Linked DNA regions of Saccharomyces cerevisiae S288C. The gene in region 2 interacts genetically with the main gene of each other region. Each region holds a gene or a part of one and is shown on either strand. Other genes may lie near its edges.

Evidence for each region. Genes that interact genetically often act in the same process or in processes that back each other up.
Region 1: mutations in BAT1 (region 2) and RCR1 together harm fitness more than expected from each alone (negative genetic interaction), as found in Saccharomyces cerevisiae (2 studies listed by BioGRID).

The regions. Positions count from the first base shown.
Region 1 is NC_001134.8:243,078-247,047, reverse strand, and holds RCR1 (Rcr1p), read right to left. Parts: upstream 1,143-3,970; coding exon 501-1,142; downstream 1-500. Other genes in the region: UGA2 (succinate-semialdehyde dehydrogenase (NAD(P)(+))), read right to left, coding at 1-38; GPI-anchor transamidase GPI18, read left to right, coding at 1,381-2,682; COQ1 (trans-hexaprenyltranstransferase), read right to left, coding at 2,818-3,970. UniProt on the Saccharomyces cerevisiae protein: Regulates chitin deposition in the cell wall.
Region 2 is NC_001140.6:514,353-520,532, reverse strand, and holds BAT1 (branched-chain-amino-acid transaminase BAT1), read right to left. Parts: upstream 3,002-6,180; coding exon 1,820-3,001; downstream 1-1,819. Other genes in the region: CRG1 (S-adenosylmethionine-dependent methyltransferase), read right to left, coding at 221-1,096; SET5 (S-adenosylmethionine-dependent methyltransferase), read left to right, coding at 4,048-5,628; kinase-regulated stress-responsive transcription factor SKN7, read right to left, coding at 5,933-6,180. UniProt on the Saccharomyces cerevisiae protein: Mitochondrial isozyme of branched-chain-amino-acid aminotransferase, involved in the biosynthesis of the branched chain amino acids (BCAAs) leucine, isoleucine, and valine.

The DNA of each region.
Region 1 (3,970 bases), on a different chromosome or scaffold from region 2:
TCGTTTAGAGTTGGTTTAGAATACTTACTCAAAGTCATGTTGAAATAGTAGTTTGTAAAATTTGCTTTTAATGTAGCTGGTTTTCTAGCTTAATTGATCAAATAAGAACAGAACAATAAAGGACGTTGCGAAATAATATCTATTGATCTCTGACGAGTATTTATACCCTATTTCCTCTCCATTACTGATGGTGATGTGATGTGATGTGGTGCTATCTTGTCACCCTTAATCCATTGGCCGCCTTTGCTAATCCCGCGCGCATTTTCCCTTTATCACCACCACGCCGTGCGATGGACTTGAAGTATTTACTATTGATAAAATAATACTGAGAGATTAAAGACAATGTACTGAATATAAACTATAGCACTTCAACGACCGCGGGCCTGAAGCGGATTAGGAATTAAAATAATTATTATAGAGATTGGGTAAAAAAATGTAAATATTTCTGGCAAAATATTGTAACTCAACTGTAAGAGGACAGCCGGAAAAAAAGATTCAGTTCATGACCTTGCATTTACCTTTGCCCTCTCCGGTGGGTTAATTTCCTGCGTTGTAGTCCCGCCCGGAAGCCTTTCCAATTGCTCCACCGTATCACTTACAGCTGGAACGCGCCCATTGCTAGGCCTTGTTAAACCGTAATCCGTATCTAAAGAGTTAGCTTGGTGAACTACAGCAGCGGGAGGTCTTTCTAAAGAATTAACAGATTCTGATGAACATTCTTGTACCAATGGCGGGGGGGCCACGTATGCAGCCTTATCGTTGGGGTGAAACTCGCCCCGCTGGTCATAGTATCCAAGATCATGTTCGTTCGCTGTTTCTGTATACTCAGGAACATAATCATCTGTCCGTTGCTGAACGGTCCCAGTATATTGTTGCTGAGACTGTCTGTATGAAGGCGGTGTCAACCATGCCGTACCTCTAATGGGAGCACGCCCCATCCTTCGTCTCCTTCTGTTCGCTACAAAAGTGAACAGTATTATAAGGATTACTGCGGCAACAAACAGCACAAACAAAATCCATATTCCTGACTGCCATGACGACGATGATGGCCCATAGTAACTAGTCACAAATTTGCTAACGTGATGGTTATCTGCCTTTTTCACCTCGTTTATCGCCTCATTTTCGTATGAAATAAGTCCCATTCCTTATTCTTAATTCGAGTTATACTTTCCTATTTATTGGAATGATCAATAAGCTATTACAGGTGCCTTTTCTGCATGAGCTTCCTGTCGGTCATTTAAATACTTAAAATAGAAAATCCCTTTTAAATCAAACTTTTTTTTTCAAGGCTTAGTTGAAAAAAAAAGTAAGCCTCATCATCGAAAAAAGACATAAAAGAGAGGCTTCGAGAGAGGAGGCGGAATAAGACTAAATTAAAATATGATTGTGGGGTTGACACTTTATTTTGTATTATTCCGTTCAATACAGTATTTACTGGTTTTTTTGACTCCAATTAGGCAGTTTGATACATCAACATCACTTTTATTAAACGAATTATGTTCTTCTCCCTCTGAAATCAACAGTTATTGGAACAAGTATTTTTGGAATAAGCTACTATCATGGGACAGTGTTTTTTTTATCAAGAACATAACTTCCAAAAACGGAAAACCTCAATTTGAGCATGAATACGCGTTTTCTCAGTTGTGGACTTTTTTCGTTAGGCTGTTTATTAAAAGTAATAACGATAGCATCTACCATGCCTTAAGGGTTGGAGTTGCAATAGAAAATGTTTTATTTTACTTGTCAGGTATTGTTTTATATTTTCTAACAAAAAAAATTTTCAGCCAAAATATAAGGCAATCACAGTTTGCTAGAACTATCGCTAAAAAAACATCTCTGTTGTTTTTCTTAACGAGTGCCGCTGGATTTTTAACAAGCATATATTCTGAACCATTATCTTTTTTTTTTGCATTTGTTGGTATTTGGAGTCGTGAATGCTCCATTTCCGTGCCCGTATTGGGTCAATTCGATATTTCGTGGAGATATTGGTTTCCTTACTCCTTTATCAGCATGGCTTGCTTTACCTTAGCATCCTTGAATCGTTCAAACTGTGTTTTGTTAGGGATTTACTTTATTTTTGACCTTATTGAACTAACAAAGAACAGGAAGTTTGTAAAAGCAATATGTTTCCCACTATTATCAGGATCATTAATGTTTTCTGCTCTACTATATCAACAATATTACCTACCATATAAGACATTTTGTCCTCAAAGGGGTGAATGGTGTAAATCTCAATTGTTTTCAAGCATTTTTATCACGAAAACTTCTTTATATTCCTACATTCAGAGTCATTATTGGGGAGTTGGGTTATTGAAATACTGGACCCCAAACAACATCCCAAACTTTTTGTTTGCTGTCCCAAATATTATTATTTTAATCTATTCCTCCATATATTTCAGCAAAATTTATCCCTCCTATAACTTGAAGGCTCTCGTATGGATCACCAGAGCACTGGTCGTCATAGTATGCTTTTTTGCCCATGTCCAAATTCTGAATCGTATAGCCTCCTTTTTACCCTTGCACCTTTGGTATTTGGCTGATAGATTGGTTAAAACTTCTGATCCAAAAAAAATGGAAAATCCGAAAGGTGACGATAAGATAGTCAAGTTTTACATATACTGGTTGGCATTCTGGATACCTTTACAGACTATCCTATTTGCAGCTTTTTTACCACCAGCCTGATCCTTAATGCTTGTATATTTCTTCTTTTACTAAAAACATATAAAAACTATTTACATATAGAATATAGAATAATGCGACACTATGACCTTCTTCATTTTCTCTTTATTCTTCACCCTTTATTTGAAATTTCAAGGTTTACTTTCTTCTTGTTAGTATACTATTAGTTAAAAACTCTAGGGCAGAACGAGCATCAGATTCAGGAAGAGAATCCCGTAGATTTTGTAATGCCTTGTCCCTATATTCCTCCGCTAGTATTTTCGTCTTCGCTATACCATTATGGAGTCTCACAGAATCAATAGTTTTTTCAACATCACCCCTCTCTGAAAAATTGCGTGAAATTAGTGGACCTAAAGATGGGTCTTCTTTCCATGCAAACAAGACTGGAGCAGTAGCAATACCTAATTTTAGATCCGCGCCGGATGGCTTCCCTAAATCTTTTCCAGACACAGTAAAATCAAGCATATCATCTACGAGTTGGAAACATATACCTAGATTTCTACCGAAATCATAGCATTCGTCGATAACGGCAGGTGATGCCCCAGATAATATAGCAGCACATCTGCAAGATTTTGATATCAAAGCAGCAGTCTTCAGATAGGTCTTGTGTATGTAGTATTCAAATGCAGTTTCTATAATCTGATCATGAGATAATTGCAGCCCCTGTTGGCGGCTTGGAACACGAAAGTCGTGCTCTTTAACTTCAAGCTTTTTAGAAGGAACCGGAAGTAGCTTATGGCCATTTTCGATGGTATCGATATCCGCGTCAATGGAAGTATTTTTCAGTTGCATGAACTCACCTTCGACAAGATTCGCAATACTATTAGACATTAGTTCTACGACTTCGGGGTTGTGTAATCTTGAAATTGACACTGTTGCTCTCCCTAAGAGAAAATCACCCGCCAAAACGGCCATCTTGTTGGTAAAGGCAGCATTTCCGCTTGGCCTTCCTCTTCTTGTATCAGAATGATCAATAACGTCATCATGAAGTAAAGACGCAGTGTGTATCATCTCTACAATCTCTGCTAATCTTCTCTGTTTGGGTAAAATCCCTCTTTGTTTGTCAAAAGTTTCTTCTGGCAAAGGCTCAGGACCTTTTGTCAAGGGATTTAGTGGTTTAATACCGTGAAGAATATGTAGTGGGGATATGCTACTTGCAGGACGTTGAAATAGTTGATTTTGACTAGGTTTAGAGTAAATTGGGTCCTCAGGAACATCCGACTTGTCAATTTTCAAGTGATTTCTTTCTGTCATGGGAATTTCAGAAAGTGCTCTTGACAACAACAACACT
Region 2 (6,180 bases):
ACAAGTTTACGTATCGCTTTAAAACATAATTACATTCAGAGGTCGGAATTTAGAGCCAATAAAATTTTTAGAGCATATGTTGACGGTTTTAAATTACTCCCAACTGCGCAACAACACCTTATTTTCTTTTTGCCATATTTTAATATTTATTAGCATTTGGGAAATATTTAAAAAAAGAAAAAAATCAGCTTTTTATATATTTCTTTTAATTTAGTAAACCTCATTCTCTTTTCCTACATAAGTAATAAAACGTTGACCACTCTATTTTTAAAGGTACATTCAAATCTTCACAATGACAGATTTCTTTGAGCTCGTTAATGAATATATCGGCAATATCCGGTTTCGAGGGATTATCTCTAGCCCAAGAAGTGTATATGCTCCAGCTTTTCACAAACTCTTTAAATTGATTGAGAGTAATAGCTGCTCTCCAGAGAAACTGACTGTTTTCAGCCGTTACTGTTGATGCATTTGGGTCCGAAGGACTGTAAATTGTGACTTCAATATCTCCAAATCGATCTGACAATAAAGAACGTAGCTTTTCACCACCGTAATTCAACAAAATTTCCCGTTGGTTGTCGTTCAGATATTTACCCATATAATCCTTGCTCCATCCATATTTGTAATATACATTCAAGGCTTCGGGAAAGTCCACAAATTCCGGCTGAATATAAAACCAGAATGCAAAAGTTCCATCACTTCGTAATATAGAGGAAACCTGCTGAAACAGCCTTTCTAAATTGCACCAATGGATGGCTTCTGCTGAAATAACCATATCTACACTTTCTGGTCGAATGCTGGATAAATCTTCACCAGGCGCATTAATAAATCTAATCTTTTTATCTAATCTACGTTCATTTGTTTCTTTCTCAGCAATCGAAAGCATAGCAGAAGAAGGATCAATCCCAATCACTTCCTTAAAATAGGGTTCAACGACAAAAGTTGCTTTTCCTGTGCCACATCCAATATCAACCAAACTTTTGCGTGTGCCTTTGTGAAATTTCATTATCTCATTGACTAAAGATAAAGGGTAAGAGGGACGTACGTTATTATAGTGAGCAGATTCAAAATTTTTGTTTAAATAACTAGTTTTAGGCATTCTGGATTCTTCCATTGACAGAAGACTGGCTTTGAAGATGTACTGAGTGTAAAAGGGTTAACTTGAATTTGCCCCTTTAGTTCGTGCCGTTTGTTTATGTTTATATACGTTCCCTTGGGGCCGCTAATTAGAATGCTAAATATAGATCGTGGAAAACTTTCACTACAAAGCTTCTCGTTGTTGTGTTGGCTGAACATATACTAATGAACTGTTTAAATCAGGATTATGGACCGGTGAGGGAACATAATCATCTCTTCATGCCTGAACCTGTATGCCACGATGATGGAAGGCATACCATTATTCATACTGTACTTGCACCTCTTCTGAACTACGCTAGAATTTATTCTTCAGAAAATACCAGGGATATCCTTATAGATTTTTTTTTTTTGGCATAATCAACTCTCTTGGGTATCTTGCCGCATTCATTTTACATGTAAAGTCCAGCGAGATACCTTGGCAACTAAATTACAAGCAGTCTCTATGAAATTCAATAATGTGCCAAGTTGTTAGGTCAACAATTTCAAAAAGCGTAAGAAGCCGCACAATGGCTTGCATAAGCTATAATAATAATAGTAATCCAATATTTCTTATAATAAATAAACTCAACAGGAATTGTAAAAAAGTATGTATCTATGTGAATAAAGTGAGAGAAAAACAGATCCTCTGAGAGGAATTCTCGTTTTTTTTTTTTGGGGGGGGAGGGGATGTTTACCTTCATTATCATTAGTTCAAGTCGGCAACAGTTTTTGACCAGTTACCATAATTGACTCTACCGTATTGGATATCAGCAATCCATTGAGCAACTTGCTTGGTCAATGCACCACATTGTTCACCAGGCAATAGTGGAACATGAATATCTTCGTTGTTCCAGCCAATTTCCTTGATAGGTGAAACGACAGCAGCAGTACCAGAACCGAAGGCTTCTAATAGTTCACCTTGTTTTGCTCTAGTGGCGACTTCAGTAATAGTGTAATAACGCTCGTTGATGTCCCATTCTTGAGGATCTAGTTTGTCACGAGCCAATGTTAAAACAGAGTCTCTGGTAACACCTTCTAAAATGGTACCATCTAATGGAGCGGTAACCAATTCCTTCTTGCCAGTGACTTTGTTGAGGAAAACGAAGAACACGTTCATAGTACCAACCTCAGTGATGTTCTTTTCTGGGCCGAACAACCATAGATTTTGTTGGTACCCTCTTTTGGCAGCTTGTAGTTGAGGTAAGATGCATGGGGCATAGTTAGCACCCAATTTTTTGTCGCCAACACCACCTGGCCAAGCTCTTGTAGCATAGTCTGTTGCTTCAAGACGTACGGCTTTGAAACCAGTCTTATAATAAGGACCGACTGGAGAAGTAATAACATAAAGAAGAGCCTCGGAGGGAGTGCCAACACCTAAACCCTTGGATGTACCAATCATTGTTGGTCTGATGTATAATGAGTAACCATTACCTTGAGGAACCAAGTGTTTATCTTGTTCGATCAATTTCCCGGTAAGTTTGATCAATTCTTCAGATTCGAAAGTTGGCAAACAAATTCTAGCGGCAGACTTGTTCATACGGGCCATGTTCTTATCCGGACGGAACATGGTGATAGTATTTTGAGGAGTTCTGTAGGCTTTCAAACCTTCAAATAATTCAAATGCATAATGGAATACACAAGCAGATGGGTCAAGAGAAAGATTACCGTAAGGCTTGATGTGTGGAGTGCCCCACCCTTCTTTGGCTGACCAAGGAATGGTCAACATATGATCGGTGAATGTCTGGCCGAACACTAATTCTTCATTTGGTCTTGGCTTGGATGGATTTGGGTTTCTAGTAATTTTTAGTTTGGATGCATCTAATGGGGCACCAGTAGCGAGTGTTCTGATGGAGAATTTCCCCAACTTCAAGGAATGTCTCTGCAACATGTTTTAGTATGCTAAGGTTCTAGCTGATTTTGCGTTTATAGGGTGATTTATTCTAACGAAAACATGTAGTTGTTACCACTAGCTCTCTTTATAGTGCCATTTTTTTCAGATGCTTTTTTTTTTTCAAAGCTTAAAGGCCGGTACCGGCAAACACAATAGAATTTTGAGTCATAAGAAGGCAATATGGATCGGATGGGCCATTAAACAAAAAGAGAGCCAATTCATCAGTAATAATAGCGACAGCCGGTATGAAATCTGCACAAAGTATCAACCGCCTGGCCTCTATCAGTAAGATCATTCAATCAACCGTACACGCGGTACTTATCCAGCGTTAACATTTACGCTTTACAGTTCAGCTAAAAAAGAACACATTATCTAGTTAATGCCTGGGAAGGCCCTGGCAAGATACACTTTATCTAAATTATCTACTGCTCGCAAGGCAATGCTATCAATTTGAGAAGTGCAGAAGGAAATGCCATCAAGCTTGTGGTGCGCATTTCACTTTTAAGGATAATAACAGAATTTAATGGCTTGATATGGACGGGCGGTTTGCGAGCCTTACTATTGATAGGAGTATTCGTCAAGTCCAGGGCGCCAATGTGACTTATCGCGCTGTGGGTGGGTAATTCTACCTCAGTTTGCTTCTCGAGGAGTTTGTAGCATAAATCTCGTTAGAATAGTCAAACATACGGTATCTTTCTTTCTCTTGAAAAATTAGTACAGTCTACAAGTTTTCCTCATTGGCTTTCAGACGAGCATTTGATTGTCAAGTACTTTCCGGACCACCTGCGATAGTTTCCCTTGTCTACTTGAGCAGATATGCTCTTACTGACTAGCAAGAATGATAACAAATTTTATCAGTAAACCCTTTCCTTGCCGTAATTTTTTTTATTTTAGCTTCGTAATTTTTTTTTTCGTATTATTTTTCTTTTTCTTTTTCTTTCTTGATATCATAATCATGGGGAACTTCTCCATATAACAATAGAAGCTAAATAGGTAAATAACCAAGCGTGCACTGATACAAAATAACGAAAAGTGGCACAAAAATGACATTGACTATCAAAATAGGAACCTTAAACGATAGCGATCAATCTGCAGTGCATAATGGTACAGAAAATGGCTCTGATTTTCGAAAGATAACTCCCACAGAGGAAGAGATCTGTGATGACGTAGTTTTGTTATGGAAGGAAGAGCCCGGAACTGAAGACGCTACGATTCAGCATCTTTATGACAGGATTACGGAAAGAAATCAATCGTGGAAATTGAGTGCTTCTCGTTTTCGAAAAATTCTAAATGAGCACCATCTTTATGACACAGATCTAGAGACCGTTTCTCTATATAAAGATAAAATACATTTTCCAAAAGCCCTAGATTCTGATGCTAAGGTCGAAGTGAAATTTATTGATGACGAACATGGAAGGGGCCTTTTCGCTAAAAGAGATTTTTCCAAGGGCCAAATCATCCTGAAAGAAAATAAACCTATCGTATATATTCCACCACTGGACAAGCTTTTTTTAATATCTAATGGAAAGGCATGTGCTCGATGTGGTAAGGCGCTATATGATTTGACCCAGCACAAAATTATGGTCCATTATTTGGATTGTGAAGTTTGCAAAGCTATTTGGTGCAGTGAAAAATGTAAAAAAGCACATGCGTCGTTACATGAGCTTTTATACCACTCATGGAGATCGAATAGAATAGACATTCTTCATGCTGGTAATTGGAAAAGATTTGTTAACTACTGTGAGAAATATTGTTTTACCGCTGCCTTTTCAGTTGGTCTTATATATGGATCCATGCTTTTGGATACTACAGGAGAGGTCAAAGAGCAATGGCAAAAATTGGCAAGCATCTCACAAAGGGAAAGAATTAAATTAAGAGACGCCAGCGGTATCGGCAGTACGTTTAGTTTACTGAATGGTACAACTGTACATACTGAAGAGGAATCTGATAATGGTACCAAAAAGGGCGTTGAGAAGAATATTGATGACGAGACTGTTTGGGAGAAGTGCTACGAATTATTTTGCGGTGCATTTCCAAAAGCTTCTGAAGAAATAGATTTCGAGAAATTTTTGACCATGATCGGGACGTTCAATATCAATCAATATAACGGCCAGGTATATCATTGGATCTCCTTCATAAACCATGATTGTGAACCAAACGCCTATATTGAGCAAGTAGAAGAACATGAGGAACTGAGGTTGCATGCAAGGAAACCAATAAAGAAGGGGGAACAAATACGTATTACGTACGTCAATCCCTTACATGGGGTGAGGTTGAGGCGTAGGGAATTAAGAGTTAACTGGGGCTTCTTATGCCAGTGTGACCGCTGTCAAAATGAACTATCTACATTTGAAAGAGTTCCAAATCTAGAGAAAAAGAATGCGGATGCTAATTTAGGAGTAGAAAAAATAGATTCCAATGATAGTAGTGAAGATGGCTCTAAGAAATCAACTGGTAATCGTAAATCTTCCATGAGAGAGGCCCAGCCAGATTTAAAAGAAATACTGAAGAATGGAAAAGAATTTGAATTAGACATACCAGAAACTGTTGATACACAAGGGAATGTAAGAAAAACCTCAGTCAGATTCGATTCAAACGTTTCGGTCGCAGTGGATGAAAGATAAGAGATAAACGCATACTAAATTACTGTGTCTGTTATTGTTTTTGGCTATATATATATATATATATATATATATATAGTAAATATAAGAAAAACAAAGAAAAAAGAAATGAGAGTGAATTTGAGAGCGGCAGAAAGAAATAAAATTCAAACATTTTGATGTAGATAACTGGAAATAACTGAAGGGGATAAAATATTGAACGAAAAGAAAATGATAATCCTCCAAGATCACATAATAAATATAAAGAAACTCCTCAGGAATACAGAATGTCCTCTGCTAACTTAGACGCAAGGCTATTTGTAAAATTTTATGATAGCTGGTTTTCTTGAAGTGTAGATTGTGGTAATTGCGGAGTGGAACCCATTGAGGAATGTGGTACAGTGTTGATTTCATGTTCCAAATTCGGTATGGCTACGTCTGACCTAGCATTAGCAATGGCGTTGTGATGCTGCTGCTGCTGCTGAGCATGGAAAATTTGATGCTGCTGTTCTTGTTGACCTTGTTGAACATGCTGTGCAGAAGATATAGAGGCACCTGGGGTAACAGGGGTAGTAG